Linked DNA regions of Drosophila melanogaster. The gene in region 3 interacts genetically with the main gene of each other region. Each region holds a gene or a part of one and is shown on either strand. Other genes may lie near its edges.

The links.
Region 1: of Mmp1 (region 3) and Timp, changing one suppresses a phenotype caused by changing the other (phenotypic suppression), as found in Drosophila melanogaster (one study listed by BioGRID).
Region 2: of Mmp1 (region 3) and Sox21a, changing one suppresses a phenotype caused by changing the other (phenotypic suppression), as found in Drosophila melanogaster (one study listed by BioGRID).
Region 4: of Mmp1 (region 3) and Tb, changing one suppresses a phenotype caused by changing the other (phenotypic suppression), as found in Drosophila melanogaster (one study listed by BioGRID).

The regions. Positions count from the first base shown.
Region 1 is NT_033777.3:10,209,984-10,214,678, reverse strand, and holds the start of Timp (tissue inhibitor of metalloproteases), read left to right. Parts: upstream 1-1,671; 5' UTR 1,672-1,920; intron 1,921-4,695. UniProt on the Drosophila melanogaster protein: Metalloproteinase inhibitor that acts on both matrix metalloproteinases Mmp1 and Mmp2 in vitro. Complexes with metalloproteinases and irreversibly inactivates them by binding to their catalytic zinc cofactor.
Region 2 is NT_037436.4:14,102,959-14,109,680, reverse strand, and holds Sox21a (Sox21a), read left to right. Parts: upstream 1-1,562; 5' UTR 1,563-1,873; intron 1,874-2,522; 5' UTR 2,523-2,606; coding exon 2,607-3,139; intron 3,140-4,793; coding exon 4,794-5,427; coding exon of another isoform or gene 5,428-5,484; 3' UTR 5,485-6,200; downstream 6,201-6,722.
Region 3 is NT_033778.4:24,684,322-24,689,001, reverse strand, and holds the start of Mmp1 (matrix metalloproteinase 1), read left to right. Parts: upstream 1-1,624; 5' UTR 1,625-1,999; intron 2,000-3,911; exon of another isoform or gene 3,912-4,295; intron 4,296-4,680.
Region 4 is NT_033777.3:26,654,620-26,658,054, forward strand, and holds Tb (tubby), read left to right. Parts: upstream 1-1,820; 5' UTR 1,821-1,909; coding exon 1,910-1,924; intron 1,925-1,985; coding exon 1,986-2,822; 3' UTR 2,823-2,912; downstream 2,913-3,435.

The DNA.
Region 1 (4,695 bases), on a different chromosome or scaffold from region 3:
TATTTAAAACACTTTCTTCTTGTGTTGGGAATAAAGACACCGAGGCAATCACAATATGTTTTTCACTGTCTGATTGAAATTCTATAAATTACAATATACCGATGAGCTCTTTACTTCCATTTTTTCTCATTTTATTTTCTGCGGAAATCAAGGGGCGATGCTTATTAATCCATTGGATAAGTGCCAAATTCATTGGTTGTTTTTGCCCTCATTCCGATCACGAATCTGGCCATGGAAATTTTCTTTTGATTTGCCAGACGAATTCCAAGAATCCTCGATCATTAGTCAGGCAGGAACATTTCATGAAAATACCTTATAGTTATTAATGGCGCATGCAAATCACTATTAAATATGCAACAGCAACAATGCCCAGCCCTCAAATATTTGACTAATTCGCATTTTATTAATTTTACATCGTTGCTCATGGTTATTACATTTATATATGCAAATCGCCAACCGATTACCCTTGTTAATCATCTCTCCCAGACCCAAAGCCATATTTAAACAGTTGATAAATCACAAGTAAACACATGGGCTTAATTTTGTGTTGCATTGGCAGAGAATGAATAAATCAAAATAAAACCAAATGGAAAACCATAACAACCATGACGCAGCTCGAAGAATTGTCGCAATTGCCGCCGATGAAAGACCGTCCTGTTGACAGAAAGCCCCAAACAAACAGAGTGCGAGAAATCTCTCAATGAACATAAATATATATAGGTATCTGAGATGTATCTGGACCGAGAATAAGAGTGACTATCAGAATGAGACGTCACACCCCCACATAGCCAGCATTCTTGGAAGCTGCTACGTGTTCCGCCTGAGTACCCACCGTCTAGGGAACTGCATCTCGGTTATATCAGCGGACTTAAAATATGCACTGTGACGCATTCGTAGTGCCCTGAAGCGGGTTCATCGATTGACAGTGGTGTCTGGTGTATAAGTGCACAGGAAGAAAACGATTTAAATAAGTTTCAACATTGGCACAGACCACTATACTGATCACAATTGTAAAACCCTATTATATTAAATCTTATAATTTTGTAATATTATTATAATATTCTTAAGCCATCAGTAGTGCAACGTTAAGTATCCCCAACCGTTTCTCGCCGTGTAGATCTGTAGTGCGGTGGCGTTACCGGGTCGGGTATGCAGATTATGGCAACGTGCTGTAGGTGGAGCATGGAGTATGATATGAAGCATGACCGGAGCAACAGCACGTGTGTGCGCCACATGGTCAGAGGAAGAGGAAGTTGGATCTCTGGCGAGTTTACGACTGGGCATAGCTGAATTATTAGTTGATTTGCGGCCTGACAGATGCGCTATTCTCTGCCGTTTCGTGTGGCGATCTCTTTTTGGCCATGGCGCCAAGTAACTACAACTATGCATATTGTATGCTATTATATGGCCGAGAGCATAAACCAGGCCCCTGCACGCAATTAATAAAGCTGCCAAGGTAACAAAATAAACGCAAAGAAAAATGCAATCGACTCTCCTCCACTTTCCACTCATTTGGGGCGAATTTATGGCGCTTTTGATCGCCCGACTGCCGCAAGAAACACTCAAGTTATAAAGACACGAGTGGATTCGACTCAAACGATCGATCGATCCGATCTCTCACTTCCCGAACAACTTGAGTGAAGAAAACAGTCGAATCGGTTGACTTGACGATCCAGTGCAGAACCGCAAGCGCAGCGAGCTAGAACGCCACAAAATCGGCGACGGAAAAATCGCGACATCGTACGAGATATATAGTACCAAGTAGTATAAAGTGCTGACGAGTCGAATCGAGTGCGAGTGCGAGTGCGAGTGCCGGTGAAAATACATTCAATTGTTTTTCCCGATTTTTGTGCCCTCGGGTTCAAGTGTTTAAAAGCCTGAAGTGCTAGTTTTACACACAAAATAGGTTGCAGCTTAAAGGTAACAAACTAGGCTTATTTTGCTAATTTTTGGTAATTTAAGAATTGAGTACTTGAATGCTTAATTGTGTTAATTTATTTTAAAAATTTCCGCATTGCCAAGTGTTGTGTCAGAAGTTAAATAGCCGGAATAAAATGGTTTGCTTATTTTTCCGCAAACAGAATTTTCATATATGTTTGAAAGGCAAAAAAAAGTTTCAGCTCAAAGAGCAGATTCAAAATAGCTTTTGTGGAGTTTTTAGCTAGAAATATTTTAAAATTAATTTTCTCTTATCAATTGATTTTTAAACTTTTCTCTTCTTTGATGCATTTTCCCCTGAGGTGCAAATTTCCACCTCAAAAACAAGTTGCAACTCAAAAGCCAAAGTACACAGCCATGTTTGTTTTTATTTTATTTTAGTTTTAGTTTTAGAGTTGTTTGGCATTTAGAAGATTGAAATTGAAATTGAAGGTATGCAAAACGCGCGACACAGACGCGTTGTGTATTTTATTTTGGGGCTATTTAAAACGCGCAGTGGGAAATGTGCCGACGTGACACAGCGACACAGTTTTCCAACGAAACGCTCATTTCTATTTATTGGCGTTTATTTATAATTTGTTTTTATTTGCCTAGCTGTGCATCTGCCTTCCCTGATCTTTTGGAGCGCCCCGAGTTTTCTTCTGGCCTTTCGAATTGTCTTAATAGTTTTTATTGTCGCCAATTTGTAAACAAACTGCAGGCCATTAAGAAATATACAACTAGTTTGCTTGTGCAATCCAGTCTGATCGTAAAGCCCATTTGAATCTGTGATGTACAAGTAACAATTTTGTTGGATGTCAAGGAAAGCGAAACGGTTGTGTGCGCCAGAGGTATTTCCATATTACGCATACGTCATGTGTGTTTTGGCATTGGCCATTTAGTGTCTAAAAATAAAGAAAAACATTTAATGCTTCTCGACTCTCACAAAAAAAAAAAAAACACCAATAAAATGTACAAGCACATCACAAGGGAGGGGAGTAAAGACTTCTCCAGGGAAATGCATTTCAAGTGGGTTTTCCCCTTTCTTTTCCATTGAGTTTTCTTTTGACAACTCGCATTGTTTCGCATGGATATTCATAATTTCGTTTTCCTTCATTTGACTTTGGATTCACTGTTGGCTTTTCGTTTTGTTTGTGCGCCATTTAAATGAGCTTGTATTTCGTATTGGCTTTTCAGCTTTTCTGGGATATTATATACTACGTTGACTTTTATTTTCTTTTTTTTTGCCATCAGATAACACTTATTATCGAATGGAATTTAAATTTCTAAAGTCTGCTAATTTTTGAATTGAATGCATTGTTTGCTTTTCTTACGACACATATTGCCATATGGCACCTTAACATTATCTTAACCGCAATTGCTTATTGAGGGAGAGAAAATCCGGTTAGTAGGCTACACTGAAATAAAAAAAAAATGTGTCCTAAAGATACTAGAGTGTTTGTACTCATCATGGTCAGATAAATTACCTTGAATAATAAAACTAGAACCATTTAAAACGTATATTAAACATTTCACATGATAATAATCATTGTAAATTGATATGTTTCTTTATTATGAATATCAGGCCTATTTCAGCGACTCCGAGAACGACGATCAATATAATGTAATGTAAGATTACGCATTGTATCCAATTCGCAAACAATAAAAAACCACAAAAGCTGGGCAAATAAAATTGTCATAATCGATGATTGTGAATGTGGCTTTTCCCTCGCACATCATTCAATTTGCCATATTTGGCGAATGCTTTTAAATCCCCAAAAAAGTCCGAAAGCCATATACGGTTGGCGATACAGATACGAAAACATTGGATCTGGATTGTTTATGCCGACACACCCACATTCTGCTCATCCCATTGCCTTTAATAAATTTTCTTGTGCAAATCTTGCAATTAAATATTATTGTACAAATAAGACAGCGCGACAAAGAGACTTTGGTTTGGTATTTTGGTCTTTCGCCACCATTAATAATTTCTGCCTCCCCCATGAATGTGCGTAAATTTCACAGGTCTGGCAGCAATTTATCGACAATGAATTTGTTTTTTTGGGAACCCGGAGCTCCTCCATTTGTGTGTGGGCCATGGGCCGTCAATTTGTCAGCTTCCCTGCTGCGTTTCTGCTCCTTTTATCTCAATGTCCCTCAATGTCTTTAACAAGAGCTGTCAACCGGGTCTTAAATGGAGCCTTGTTGGGCTGAGATAAATCACCCAAGTTGACGAAAACCGATTCGGTATTGTCACAGAAAATCACTTGAATATTTAATTGAACTGCCAGCCGGGTTATTTGTGCAGAGTTTATTGATTTTTATGCAAATTCCAGCAATTTGATAACTAAATGCAAGACCACACAGTGCGCACCATTGTATTTCCGAGCCAGAACCCACATTATACATAATATTGTATTTTCCGGCATATGCATATGTTTACTTTGCGGTCTTATATATATGCACATGCTATATGGGTTTCGCTCATTAAAGATTTATATTTTTATGGTCCGGCCAATGCAATGTGAGTCCAGGCCCCAGACCTTCGGGTCTCCGATTTTGTAGGAACCCTTCCCCCCCCCCCCTTCACCTACCATCCTCTTCAGATACATTAGCATTTTTAATTGAATTTTCGTTACGCATCCTGGGTGAAATGTTTGTTGATTTTGCCACGCCGCCAGACAATTTGTGTTATAAGTTGAGAAATTTGTGGCGTTACTGTTTCGCTCTTTAATTTCGCGTCTCAAAATGAAATCCCCAAAAAAAAAACGTGACGAA
Region 2 (6,722 bases), on a different chromosome or scaffold from region 3:
AAATTTAAAATAAAAAGCACTGCGACGATTCATTTATCTTTAAAATGTTGTTTTTGTTACTTTCTAGGTCAAATTAATTTGAAGATTTAGTATATACTGTGGAAATGTTGCTAATAGTCCCAATAATCGTTAAATATTATTGCAAAAGCATATTTAATTAAAATTAATTGTGATCGGGAAATTATTGTTCCGGATGTACTATACCTAGCATATTACACACTTTTCTATTGACATTACACTGTAAACACCGGGAAAATTGTCTAATTTCTTAGTATTCGTCAAGGGAGAAGCTCCGTTGGCGGAACATTGAAACCGTCAATTATAAAGAGCGGCATTTATAAGAAATTTTAGCAAATGTATAAAGGTGGTACTATTAAGGGATCAAGGGCTTCTAATCGTTGCAATTATACAGAAATCGTTATTGGTACAGCAACAACAAGAATTGAGAATTTCCTGTGTGTGACAAACAAGGAGAGCAATTGAAATAAGCGGCCCAACCCTGCCAACAAAAAGGGCCAATCTTGCGGATACCGAAGCTTGCAGCAAACATACCAAATAAGCCACCGATCGATTGTGAGAGCAAACACCGGTCTAATACACAGTAAGAAATTATAGTGCCATAACCATATAGTGTAGACCATGCATATAAGTAAGTATCCAATATTTGGTTAATTGTAGTATAAGATTCAAAAGCTAAAGTGTATTTTTCATTCGATTGATTGTTGCCACTCCGTTTTGTATTCCATTTAAATAAACTAATCAAGGCATTTTTTTGACATCTTAAAAATGGGTTCTCATTCCATAGTTAAGAAGAGCTATAAAGTAGTTTAACTATGCCTTTTATTTGGATCACAAATGCATAGAAGAAAAACAGAACTGAATAATAAAGTGTTTTATAAACGTACCAATTTATGATTTAATATTTTGTAAATAAATATAGCAGCGAAATTCTCAGAACTAGCCGGAATTTTCTTGAATTTTTCAAAGAAAACTATTTATATTTACAATAAAAATTGATATTGGTAGCTTAATATGAAATATGTTATTGGGCTATTCAAATTTTCAAAATTATTTTTGTGTTACGGTTTTGATAAAAAATGCAGATATCATCAACTGGCGAAGAGCAAAAGGAGCAATGTTTGGTAAACAAGAATGCAAACGTGCACACAAAACGAAAACAAACCCGGAGACTATTGTCAATAAGATACAAAACGCAGATACAAAGATACAAAGCAGCAGCAGCGAATTTTTATCACTTAGCCGCCACGTTGACGCGTCCTCCGAAGGTGTAAAAAACTCTACAAAATGTGCGCGCTCTCTCTCTCTCTCTCTCTCTCTTACTTGCGCGACCCTTCTCCCTTGCACTATCTCTCGCCTTGTCTCGCTCCCACTCGGTCCTTTTGGGCGGCAGCGACGCAGCAGCGACCAACCACTACAGAGACACCCTCATACTTACAAACACCCACGTTCTTCCTCTTGCCCCTTTTTGTTGCGTTTGTTTGCCGTTTTTGTCGCAAGTTTTCGAATGTGTTTTCAAATCTAAATTGTCGCGCACTCGAAACGGACGCGCTGCGCTCGGCTAACGGTGAATCGGCAGTCTAACGGTTTAAATACTTTCAACGTTCGTAAATTCGAGGCTCTATAAATCTCGAACTGTTTGGAAAATAAGTTAAAAATTCATATCAGTGCACTTGTGTATTTTTAGGAGTTCTAATGGCGATCAACAATAATTAACCTAGTAATATTAATAAACAAAAAGAACTCGATCGCAACGTAAACTCTTGTGCAATTAATTAGATAGTTAAGTGTCACGCATCGGATGGAATCCAAATTTAAACTTTATTAGGGAGAAATTAAAAGACAATTAATACAGGTAAGCTAATTATGATGATGAGAAAAGGTCCCTAGGTAAACAATTCGAATATTTAAATATGAAATGAAGAAAAAGCTGTGCTCTAAATTAAACTATTGCACACTCCTCCCCAAAAACTAAACACTTTAAAAAAGCGAAATAAGCGAACAAATATATTTTCTTAAAAAAGAAACCAAAAGATTTATAAGGATATGAAATATATAATGAATTTTATGAATATTTGCAATTTTCAATGTTAGAAAAGCCTGTTTTAAAAAATATATCATTTTCCAATCCAATCTTTAATTAATTCATCATTTGAAATCGAATTTGGCAGTACTGTTAATATGCAAATATACGTTCTTCAAGGAATATATTTTGGATAATATTAATTTAAGGGAAATCCCCAATTTTGCAAATACTCAATACTGAAAACTGATTTGAATTACTGGTAAATATTTAAATTGGTTTGTCATAAAACCGGGACACCATTTTGAGCCCCCTGTACACACACATTAGAAGGGGTAAATGGAGTTCCATTGTGCATATTTTTGGTAAGCTATTCGCAGTGCGAAGAGCTCCAATCAAATGACTCATGCAGGGAGCAGCAGACAGAGTCCCCAAGCTAACAAGGCATATCTATTGAATACCATTTCCGTTGGCATTTCAGAGCTCGAGGAGCAGCTGCAGCACTACCACCTGATAATTACCACCTGCACCCCCATTGGAGTCCCTTGACTCCGCGCCCGGCATCATGACGAGCATCTCGGCCCTGCTCCATCGGAGCCACAGCCACAGCAATGGTTACACGAGCAGCGGGAGTAGCAATCACAGCCATAGCAGCAGTCTCTCACCGCAGTTGCCCGGCATCAATTTGGGTTTGGGCATGGTCGGTGGCTTGGGCATGGGTATGAGTGTGGGAGTAGGCTCTGGATCGGGAAACACCACCCCACCACCGATGCCGCCAGCTGACCTCGCCGTTCCGCCAGCGGCCCCCACTCCGGTGGCACCCAAAATGCACCAGCACACGCACCACCATGGCAACTCCCACCATAATGCCCCGACCAGCCACTCGAATTCGAATACTGGAAGCCATCACAACAGCCACGACCACATTAAGCGACCAATGAACGCTTTCATGGTCTGGTCGCGGGGGCAGCGTCGCAAAATGGCCCAGGACAATCCAAAAATGCACAATTCTGAAATATCAAAACGCCTGGGCGCCGAGTGGAAATTACTCACCGAAGGACAGAAGCGTCCATTCATCGACGAGGCAAAACGATTGCGGTAAGTATTGTTCACTGGGGTCTGGTTAAAAAGCACTGAGAAAATATGTATGTACTAAATTTGTAAACAGAAATAAGAGTATTTTCTTACCTGGAAAAGTCCTTACCTTTCAATTCAAAAGTTAATTTTCCAAGTCTATTATTAATAGGGTTTATTAGGGCGAAGTTATATTTAAAAAAAATAAAAAGATATGGATCCCATTGATGTTAAAAATCACAGATTATCATATTGCAGTAATCCTATATTAATTTAAACTAGGAAAAACATAGTTCTTGTATTTTTTGTAGTTACCTCCGCTTTCTATTCTTGGATATAAGAATTACTTTGTTTATTCAATTTTATTCAGTCCACACGATATACATTTTTTTTCTGTGCCGGCTTATGCAGGAGCAGAGTGGTGTAGGTTGGATGGGAAATTCTGGCTTGGTTTCGGTTACCATTTTCCCAGTTGGTAGCTCATTCTCACTAGATGCCGTCTGGCCACAAAATTTGATCGATTAGCTAAGACAAAGGCTACCTATTGTGAGGAGCTCCTGCTGAATTGCGGAGCTCTGGAGTCGGGGATTGTGTCCGCTCTGCTTAGTCAGAATTTCATTGGCACTGCCATATCTTGGGTAAACATTTCAATTGAAGTTGTCACACAAAAGCGAGGCAACACGTCGCATGAAATGCTCCATTCATTTTGCATTTTGCTTCTTTTTGTGTGCTTAACCCATTCAGTGTACCCTTTCGAAAGGGTTTGAGTAATTTCAGTTTGAGCTTAGTTTTAATAAACGTAATTATCGGGATTAACTGAAAATACCGCTAGAATGGAGTTCTTTGTACAAGAAATATACTCAAAAGCGAGCATTTTACAAATAAGTACAAAAGTGATATCTCACATTATTTTATTTTTTATAAAACTAGCTTTTAAATAAGTTGTATTGGTATAAATGGAATCAAAATTTGCAGTGCACTTTTAAACCACAGGAATTCCCAGAAATGCCGTATCTCACAAGTTCGTTTTTTCTATGCCTTCCTAGATAGTGCGGTCTTTTATGATGACGAACCTCTGTGTTTGCACTGTCATAATCCTTTTATTGATTGGATTGGCCTGCCAAAATGGAAATGTTAAATTTTACTTACATTTTATGACATTTATAAATGATCAGGGCTCGTCAGAAGGGGCTTAAACTAATGGCCATTCGGGGTTTTCGAGCGAGCATATCGAATGAAAAGAACCAAAAATTCTGATCAAATATTTGCCAATGCGCGATGATAAGGAAAACAATATTTTTTTTCGGGACCCGCGATAAGGAGGCCATAACTGACCAAAGAAAGGAAAACAAAATAAAGAAAAGCGAAAGTAAAACAAGAGGAGGCGACCCAAACACACCTTTTATCAGGTTTTATCGTTATGTCAAACAAATGTCAACAATTGCGCATTGTTGCAGCTGGGAAATCGGAAAGAGAATCGAAGTTGGAATCGGAGTGCTGGTTCTTCGCTAAATACACAATATAAACTTGTGCATTTTGTATCTGCCTGGCGTGGGGTTTATGGAAGGGTTCCGCTTCTCTTGGGGTTTACGACCAGAGATGGCTGACTTTATGATATCATCAAAGCTTAAATCGTTCGATCTTTTGATCAGTGTTTCAACATTTATTTAATTTACAGGGCTCTGCACATGAAAGAACATCCCGACTACAAGTATCGACCACGTCGCAAGCCCAAGACGCTCAACAAGTCACCGGTGCCAGGTGGTGGTGGTGGCGGCGGTGGAGGTGGTGCCAACGGTGGTGTCAACGCTGGTGGTGCGGGTAACTCCGGTCCCAGTGGCCCAGGATCAGTTGGCTCCCCCAAGGATATGCAGCCCCAGTTGTCGCCCTTGGGTCAGTCGCTGCCACATCTCCACGGACATCCGCACCAGTCACCATATCAATCGCATCCACACCACCCGCATCCTCATCCACATCATGTCCAGCTGGCCGCCGCCACCTTGAGCGCCAAGTACGGTTTTGGTTCGCCACTGGAGTTATCGCTGCCCCGCCTGCCGAATGCCTTTCCCGGCCTCGCCCACTATCCACTGGATCCCACGTTGGCCCTGGACCTACAGGCGCGCCTCCAGGCGATGTACGCCGGCTCCATCTACCACCCGTGGCGATATCTGCCGCTGATAAGTCCGGAAACTCCACCCTCCCCGCCCAGCAGCAGCGGTACCGGCATCTCATCCTACGGATGCGTCAAGTCAGAGAAGTCCTCACCAAATGCGGTAGTGGCCAGCGCGGCCAGTCCGCCAAACATCATTTGACCGACTCCATTGCGCTTCGGCGCCGGCACCTCCTCATCCGCGGAACACGTGGTCTAGGATGAGCACCACAGAGGGAATTTGGATGGTAAACTTTACCATTCCTCTCCAAAAGTTAAAAGTCCTAATGTTAGAGCCTAGTGTTAGACGAATATTAATGCACGTCTTTAGTTGCTACTATAATTATGTTTTTGGTTCTGATTTAGTGCTGCTTCACTATTTTAGATGATTAATTTTAAAACTACATTCAAAATCTCAATTTACTGACATTTTTTGACAAATAATGAAGTTAAGTCCGGCCTCGAAAAGCAATAGACATTTTAAATCAAAGAAATTTTAAAAAATCTTAGCTAAGAAATAACACTTAGTAGTCTCTTATAATTTATATATATATATTTTATATATATTTTTTGACATTTTATTAAAATTCACAACATCATTTGAATTCGTACATATTACTTAAACTGCACTTAATATTTTTATTGATATGTTGTTATATGAATAACTCAATTCTTTCGATAAATCTTTGAATTAATCAGCTTTGAATCAGCTTAAAACACATTTTAAATGGTTTTATTCATACCTAATTTAAGGATTTCACAATCTTTGTTATCAATTTCTGGAACCCAAACAAATGGCTTATTAGATCTAAAGTACATTAGATTTGTTAAGGCATCGAGAACATGTCCACTTTTATGTAATATATGATTGTAAAACTATACTTTAATGTGATAAATGAAAGAGCAGAAATCGAATTAAAAATAGTGTGAAATTCCACGATTTTTAAACAGTGTACTTGAATAAAGCATGGCATTGGGATTTATGGCAAAATTGTAACAATAGTTTTAGGATTGAAGAACCCTATAGAGACCTGGTTTGCATGTGAGTGAAAATCATAGCTTGCAATCTGTAAGGAGTCACCGCCAAACGCCACAGGCTTCTGTGAATATAACGACAATGTTTGCTGATGCGTTGATTATTAGTTTAAATTGCCGACACGCCGCGGGGATGAATGGATGACGATGGCCAGGATTGTCTGCCGTTTCGGAAGGGTGGCGATCGTCCTTAATGGGATTCCTTCACGCCCACTTGTTTAAGCGGCCAACTGTGAAGCGCTCACCGTCGAGGCGTGTCAATAACTCTCGGCCCAAAAACAATTGGCACTTTTTTGTCTGAGGCACTGCACAAAACAAAGCAGCAACCACCACTATTATTGGACTTTTCTCTGGGTGGGTTGGGTGGAATATAGACAGCTTGGCGGTACAGGGCAATCGCGACAGCATCGTAACCAGCTGAAA
Region 3 (4,680 bases):
CCCGGGAGCAGAGGAGTTGTATCTCTTCTCTTTAAAAGTAAATTAAAATATGTTAAAATACTAAGAATACTCAAGTAAAATCGATGATTGTCTTTTTGCTTGTTAGCAATGTAAGCAATCAAACAAAGACACCAGTAGAAGGATTTCTTTTGAGATACCCAAAAGGAGTGGCCCCATCAATCAGTGCGGTTAATCAAACAATCACTCAGACTTCCTGCTCGATTTGAATTGCTCTTTTGTATCTAAAATCCTTAGTTTATTCGCCTGTGCGACAGCCATATCAAAATATTTAATTGCAATACAAAAGAAGACATCACCCTCACTTCTCCCCGCGAATCTCCTGGTGGGGAGTCGGTGAGGAGGTGGCCGTTTGAGGAAGAAGCCAAGAGGACGGCATTCCAGCACGTTTGATTGCGTATAAATCAAAATATAAGAACAATATAAAGCGAAATTTAGCATCACAGCGACCGAAGTCGAAGCAGAGTGAATCGAAATGAATCAGCCTGTTCTGCAGCCGAAAAATCGGTGGAAGGCGACTCAATAACCTATGCCACATTGGTGCCACGTGCACCAATGCTCGGAACTCTCAGGATCGGTCTGACATGACTCATCCGCTCAAGAAGCCGGGATTGATGCGTAACTATCCCGTTATCGAAACGAAACGAGGAAGCTCCCCTAGCACTGCGAAAGGGGTGCTGACAGGGAAGGACGCGGGCATCAAGCCGAGCTGAATGACTGGCGTTTCGGATCTCGGAACGGAACGCTATCGGATCGCCTTGCTCCCGGCCATATAAAAGAATCTAAGCGGAGCGTCCCGAGTCTCAGTCTAGCGCACTAGCGAGCCTCAAAAACGCACTCGAACTTGCAGTTACGGCAGCTTGCTGCGGAAGGCAAATCTCCATAAGATATAGTATAGCTAAGCAAATTAGCGAGTGTTAAACAAATTAGTTTGTGCTTCCGCTGCGTGAAAAGCTTTCCACCCAGAGTGAAAAACCCAATTTAGACTGAGAGCGAGAGAAAGCTGCGCCCTCAGGTGAATCATCAGTGGATCTAACAGCTAGCCAAAAGCTTGCTAACTTCTGGCTTACAGTGCGTTAACAGTGAAGGTGAGTCCTAGCCGAACGAGCTTTACCCCAGCCCCATGTTGCTCGCCAGAAATAAGTGCTGGTTTTTTAAAAATGCACGCAATATCAAATAGGGTTTCATTAAGGGAATGTTATATTATGTTAAATAATATCCAATCGATCGCCATGGGTAGTACACAGTCTGCTAGTCTGGCTAGTTAAAGCCAACAGAGAGCTAGTTCCTTCCTAATCCTGTTGCTCCACAATCACATGCAAGGGACGAAGGAACAGGGGGCGACCAGCTATTTTCAACCACCAGAACTAGGATTCCACCTATGGACGACTGTGTGTGTGAGCGGTGGTGTGTCGGTGGTTATTCGCGTGACTCGTAAACTAGAAGCGAACACGGACAGACCCAGGTCTTAGCCATTAGACCCGCACACACTCGCAAGCCCCATGGAAATACAAAAGTAGGGGTGGCGAAGACGACGACGCGAACATTATTTTGCTGAAGGCGGAATGGCAGAGAGCTGGAACTGAAACAGCAACAGAAAAGCCAAACGAGTAGCAATCGGAACCCGCTGTGAATCGGTCGCTATCGCTTCTCGCGGAACAAGTAGTCTTAGCTTGGAAACTGGGAGCTGTGCTAGCCCCCTGGACATGAGTGTAGAGTGTGGATAGTGCCCTGCCGTAGCCAAATTCGCCCAAGTGATAGTGACTATATAGTGACTTTGCCCGCCTTATCTAACCACCAAGATCTAATCGCCATCGGTCGCAGATAAGCCCGATAAGTTCGAAACAGCCCTGTGAAGAAACTAAAGAAAACAAAAGTCGCTTTGTGCAATATTTGCTGAAGGAGCACGGGCACCGAGCTGATTATTTCACAAATTGGTTTATGCAAATTCTGTTTGCTCAATTCGTCTGTCTGCCGTATGGTAAGTTGATATACCAGGATGACTCATGTCCGCCAGGGAATTCCACTTTCTCGACGGGCATCAATGGGCCAAGAGCGATCTTTGCTCGGACTTCGCATTTGACATTGCGGGCGGATCACAGAGGCTGCCCAAACAGTCGGCACATAGGAGCTTTGTAACATTCCGATACATGAATACATATAATTATAGGCACATCAGATACTTCATACATACTATCGATGCCTGACCGTGACGTGATTGAGTTTAGAAATAGTTTTTCGCACTCAAAGTCAGAGCCGCGCACTCTATTCAAATAATATACAATACTATATTCATATGCAATTAGCATTATCTGCTCCATCTGTATGACAATTATATGTTCTGCTCGGCCAGTTGGCACAGTTCAAAGGCAAAAGTCAATGCGAAATCGCTTGATTCGAAGCGGCGTGGAAAAGTTAATTTCACTGCCGGCGCAGGCAACCAACCTTAGTGCCAGCGCACTGCATCGCATCGGGATGGGGCATGGACTAAAAATACTATAAATAGTTGTCTTTAAAGGCAGTAGAAACTCATAAATATTTCATTGTGCCGATGGCAGAGGAGCAGGGCAAAATGCATCGCACAGCAGGCGGCGACGACAAGTCAACTTGTCCACTGCCATAACAGAGGAATACATTCGTGTATATATGGAAAGAGACCACGGAGCCCTGAGCCCAGAGACCAGATCCCAAGCCCATGGCCCATGGCCCACAGCCCAGAGCAGATGGGCAAGCAAAGAGGGGCTGACAGCAAGCCAGATGCACTTGGTCCATGGATAAATGGCAGCAACAGCATCCGATTTGTCTCACAGCCCCCGCTTTGTTCTGCCAAGTTCTGTTCTGTCGCGTTGGATGTGCCAGCTCCATAAAGCGCATCAGGAACTGTCGTGAAAGCAGAATGTCGCCCATTATGTGGCTGTCGGATTCGCTTTTCGTTCTCCAGCTACATCCCAGCTGAACCTTTGGCTTGGGCTTGGGCTGCTAGCCAATTGCTCAGGCCGATTACTGGATTTGTTTGCGCTAGGTGGCAATTTGATTCACGTGGCCGCTGAGTCACCCCAAATTGCACTCAATTGATATTAATGGGGTGGTGCCGACGTAGGGCGAATATATTATCGATTCGCAGAAGAAGATACCCAGATGAATAGCTTATTAGCACGGGTCCGCGAGAGATGAGGTGCTAATCAGGCTGCTGTAAAGGCGAATGTGTTAATCTACACGATTTATGAAGGCAAATAGGCGTAGATGCACCGTTATCAAGCACAGCTAGTAATAGGCACTTATCCTATCTTTTTACACTTCTATATTCTTATTTTCGGTGAAACATACACTTTCCGATTATCACTCATGAAATTACGCATTACTCATACGCCCATTGAGAAACCGTTTGACCAGGGGAATCCAGACCGCAGATTCATTCATAAAATCTTTTCGGTTAGCGGCGAGGTGTGGCAGATCGGAAGTTCACTCGAATTCGTATGTGAATTTCAAGAAACCAGATCCGCTGAGTTGTAAGCGTTTGCCTAAGGGAAGCGGGGAGAGTAATGTGCTAAGCTTCGGATAAGCTGTAAAGTGCCACCGAGGGCGAGTGTTTCGGTGGCCGCAGCGGTTGCTGTTTGCTGGACCAGCGGCGTATGACACATGTGCGGGTGATTCCAAGAAGCGCATTACTCATACGCCTCCTCTCCAGCGGAAAGGGGTGCGGGGCGCGGAAGGAACAACTTCGATTATTGGCAACAGGTTTCGGCTGTCCCCCGCTACGAAATCTCCATCTCCATCTCCACAAGCAAGCATCGCCAGCGCCTCTGTTAGTCGCAAAAGCTTTCGGCTTCCCTCTTCGAAAGCTCCACTCACGATCGCCAGTCGTCGTCGTGCGGCAGCGAGCTCTGAAGATCAGTTGAATTTTGCGCGCAGCCCAGGGCGGATGTGTTTAGCGGCGAGAAACCGAAAAAGTCACCACGATAGAATAAGAATCGCAGTTGGAGTCTAGTGCTATATAAATAGTCGCGAAGAAAGTTATTCGAAAAGTGAATGAGTTCAGTTTTGGGTTTTGGTTTTTTGGTTTTGAGTTTTGGTTTCTAACGCGGAAACGAGCGGGAAAATGGAAGTGCCAGCGAGCAATTAGTGCAGCCAGACATAAAGACACACTCACAGCTCGAAAATACAGCAAAACAAAAGGATTGCGACTGTGAATTATAAAGTATAAATTATAAGCAACGACAACACATCCACAGCGGAATACGCAGCGACGACAGCGACAACAAACAAGAGAAAGAAATGTATGTGCCGAGAGCTAATTAATTAATTAATTAATCGTAAGTGTTGCAAGCGACATGCAGCAACAAAGGCAGCAGCGATAGTTCATTGATCTGCAATTGCATCCCACTGGCAGCCCAGCTAATTGAAAGGTCAACCAGAAGCGGGTCCGAGCCCATTAATCAGACCTAACCCATTGAGCACTCCGCTTTGGAGGTGAACTTGAACAGCACTGCGGATTGGGCTGTTTCGACACTGCTTGCCCAACCCGGCGTGTGATATGTGGCTATCACTAAGGTCAAGTTCTAGTAACACTTGGCCACTCATGCCCGAACTATGCATTTGGTAGCTCCCAACATAACTCCCGCCGATCGCCACCATATCTTATCGCCCTCGGGCCGTACTCAA
Region 4 (3,435 bases), on a different chromosome or scaffold from region 3:
CGACCTAACAAGTGTCTAACTTACGGCTTAAATGCGCGCGCGCACAAAAGAGCGCTGGAAAAAAAACAAGTTTAAAACTGGGTTAGCCAGCAACAGAACACTGACAAAAAAGTTCGCACAGTTTTCTCAATGCCAATCAAAATACAGACAATGAAGACGTTTTTTTTTAGCAATTTCGCCAACAAGATTATAGCTTTCTCCCATAAGCTGTTGCTTGCGCTTTTAGCCAAATTAAAATAATTTGTGCAGTGTATGTCGACAGGAAACTCCATTGGCACCGTTAGCTACCTTTCCTACCACCACCACCACAACTGACAACGGCAACTGTTATGCGTGTGAAATTATAACTGACAGCGGAGCTTCTTTTGTCGCCGCCGACTCATCCTGGCATGCGGTTCATTGAATAATTTATGCACTATAAAGTGGCAGCAGGCCCATTCCATTCCGCCGGATCCGGCGATTCCTTACTTTCAGGCCAAAAAACAGGGCCAAATGCCAGTGAGAGCGACAGGGAACGAGTTGTTTTGCATTTCAATGCAAATGCGAAAACTTCATTAAGTGCCCCTGGAACTATTTATATTAATTGCATGCGTGTCCTGCTGCCAAACAAATATTTCCACCTCAGCTGGCCAACTAATTAGAGGTCAAATCAAACGGAAAATTGTTCATTAAGGGAGCGACAGACGATCGCTCATCATTAAATCCACTCAATTAGGAAAAACAATTTGATAAATTTAGTTTAAATCAAATTATTACAAAAGCAGTTGGTAGCCTGTGGCTGCCACACATGTTGCACGCGACTGCCAGCTACCAACCGCTCGTAATTGGCTTAATTGGGCATTTATCGTCAATCACGGAGTTGCATGTTCATGTTTGGCTTGAAAAATGCATATTTCCGTAATTAGCTTGATTGCATTTCGATGGCAAGCGCCACAGGGCCAACAGACATTGGGGCTAAGTTCATTACCGGCGTAACAGTTTGACAGCCACTGCTGGCAGCCCTATAAGTATGCAACGAATGGCTCTAACCTTAAGTTCAATTGGGCAATCGATGAATGAATCAAGCATATCAAATTCCACTATGAATGCCATCATAAATGCCCAGTAATATGCAAATTGAAAACACAATAAAACAAATCCCTAAACCACACAAAAATGCCACAAGCGATATGGGGTTAATTTGCATAAATAGGTTTTTTGTCTGCGCCCCTTTTGTTTTTTGTTGCTAGTCAGTGTGTTTACGAAATCGAAATTATGTATCATAAACTAGATACGGTGGACAGTCGGCAGAGAGTCGCAGCTCGATTAGCGATTGATTTGTGATCCATCATAGCCAGTATTCACTGCCACGGTTTACCAATTTGCAATTGCCGGAAAGATATATTGACTGAATTAATTAATATTGAATTTGACCAATCATTCGCAGAATTCTGTGGACACTGTAATTGATTTATTTTCTTCCTTTTTTCGCCAGCTATATGGCTGTACTGCAATTAATTAAATACGACCAGCTATGCAAATCGCATGGCATTGCTCCACTTAAGTGGCCATAATTTCTGGTTTGGCCTACCAACATCCAGTTCCGTCGTGGTTTGTTTTTGCATTTCATTGCCAACGAAATTGGCAAACCGTTTTCGAATTTATGCAAACAAATGCTGGCGGATACAGTTTTGAGGGCTTTGCGTCACCTGCAACGGGTATTGGTATTTGTGCTGGATTAGCATCAATGGCATGGGCTACACCCGCTGTCTCATCACGAAAATCTGCATCTTATATTGGACCTGATTAGGGTCGGGCTATAAAAACGCCCCTCGACAAGATGGGCTGTAGCATTAACAGTTTACACCTCCCGGCGTGCCCAACACGTTAACAGATTGGATCGAATATTGGCTAGGATAGGGCTATCAATATGCGTGGATTTATTGTAAGTTTAAATGGTATTATTAGTTTGAAATAGTTGGATTAACCTGAGCTTTCTTTGCCAGATTTTTGCTGTCTTGGCTGTGGCTCGCGCTGATGTAGGCGGCTATAACTATGGAGCTGGCATTGGATCAGGCGGATCCATCTCGGGAGGCTCTCTGTCTGGAGGCTCCATCTCTGGAGGCTCGATCTCAGGTGGCTCCATCTCAGGTGGCTCCATCTCAGGTGGCTCCATTTCTGGTGGTTCCCTTTCTAGTGGTTCCCTGTCCGGGGGATCTTATTCCACTAACTACGCTCCTGTAAACACCGAATTTAACAAGGAGTTCTTCACCTACTCCGCTCCCGAGGCCGATTTTGAGGATAATAAGAGTGTCAGTGATCTGGCTGCTACTCTGAAGAAGAACCTCCGTGTGGTTTTCATCAGGGCCCCCGAGAATAAGGGTCTGGAGAACGCCGCTCTGGCCTTGGCCAAGCAGGCTGCCGAGCAGCAGACCGCCATCTATGTCCTGACCAAACAGGGTGATCTGTCCAGCCTGGCCAACCAGCTGCAGAACCTGAACCATGTGAGCGCCAGCAAGCCGGAGGTGCATTTCGTCAAGTACCGCACCCAGCAGGACGCCATCAATGCCCAGCGTACCATTCAGCAGGAGTACGAGCGTCTGGGTGGAGCCAGCACCTCCTACAACGGAGGCGTGGCACCAGTCCTGGACTTTGCCACCAAAGTGCAGCAACAGCAAGAGCAGCAGCAGCAACAGCAACAGCAGCAGGTGCAGCTGATTGATGAGCGTCGGCCTTCCAGCGGAAGTGTAAGCGCCGAACTGGAGGCTCCTTCGGCAGGATATATTCCACCACCAGCCGCAGCGCCTAGTGCCACGTACCTGCCTGTGAACAAGGTCAAGTAGGAAACCTGCAAGACCACATTCTTATTTACGAATTAGCTCACACATTCTCCTTTAAGTGCTACCGTATAAAATATAAACTTAACTTAATGTATGCCCGATATATTGTTGCTGTCGAGATTAATGCAGGAAGTCATTTCAGCGCCTTGTAGCCACTATCGGCCAGAGCCTGAGCAGCAATTAAAACTAAAAGCGCATTGGCATTGGAGGGTTTGGGTTTAAAAGGGGTTGTAAATTTAAGTGCATGCCCTCTGACACCGGATTCGTTGCCAGCGGTTTATGGCACGTCACCGACGACCAGTGTTGACCCGTCCTAAAGTACTACCACCATACACGCGATCAGGGCCAACTGGTCTGGGCTAATTACCGCCGCACAGAGCCAATTTCTGGCGCTTCATGACCGCGACCAGTCGCGACATTTAATGGGTGCCCTTTTGAGGGTCAAGTCGGTGGCAATTTGGTCCTGCCACTGTTGCAGCCAAAGAAACCCACACTGAGAATTAAATGAAAATTACTAGCTACATTTTGGAGCGCACTCCTTTGTTGACCGTCGTGAAATTTCAGCTAGCAAGCAAAGAAAACCACAAAACTTCTAAACCAGAAAGCTTTGCTTTGT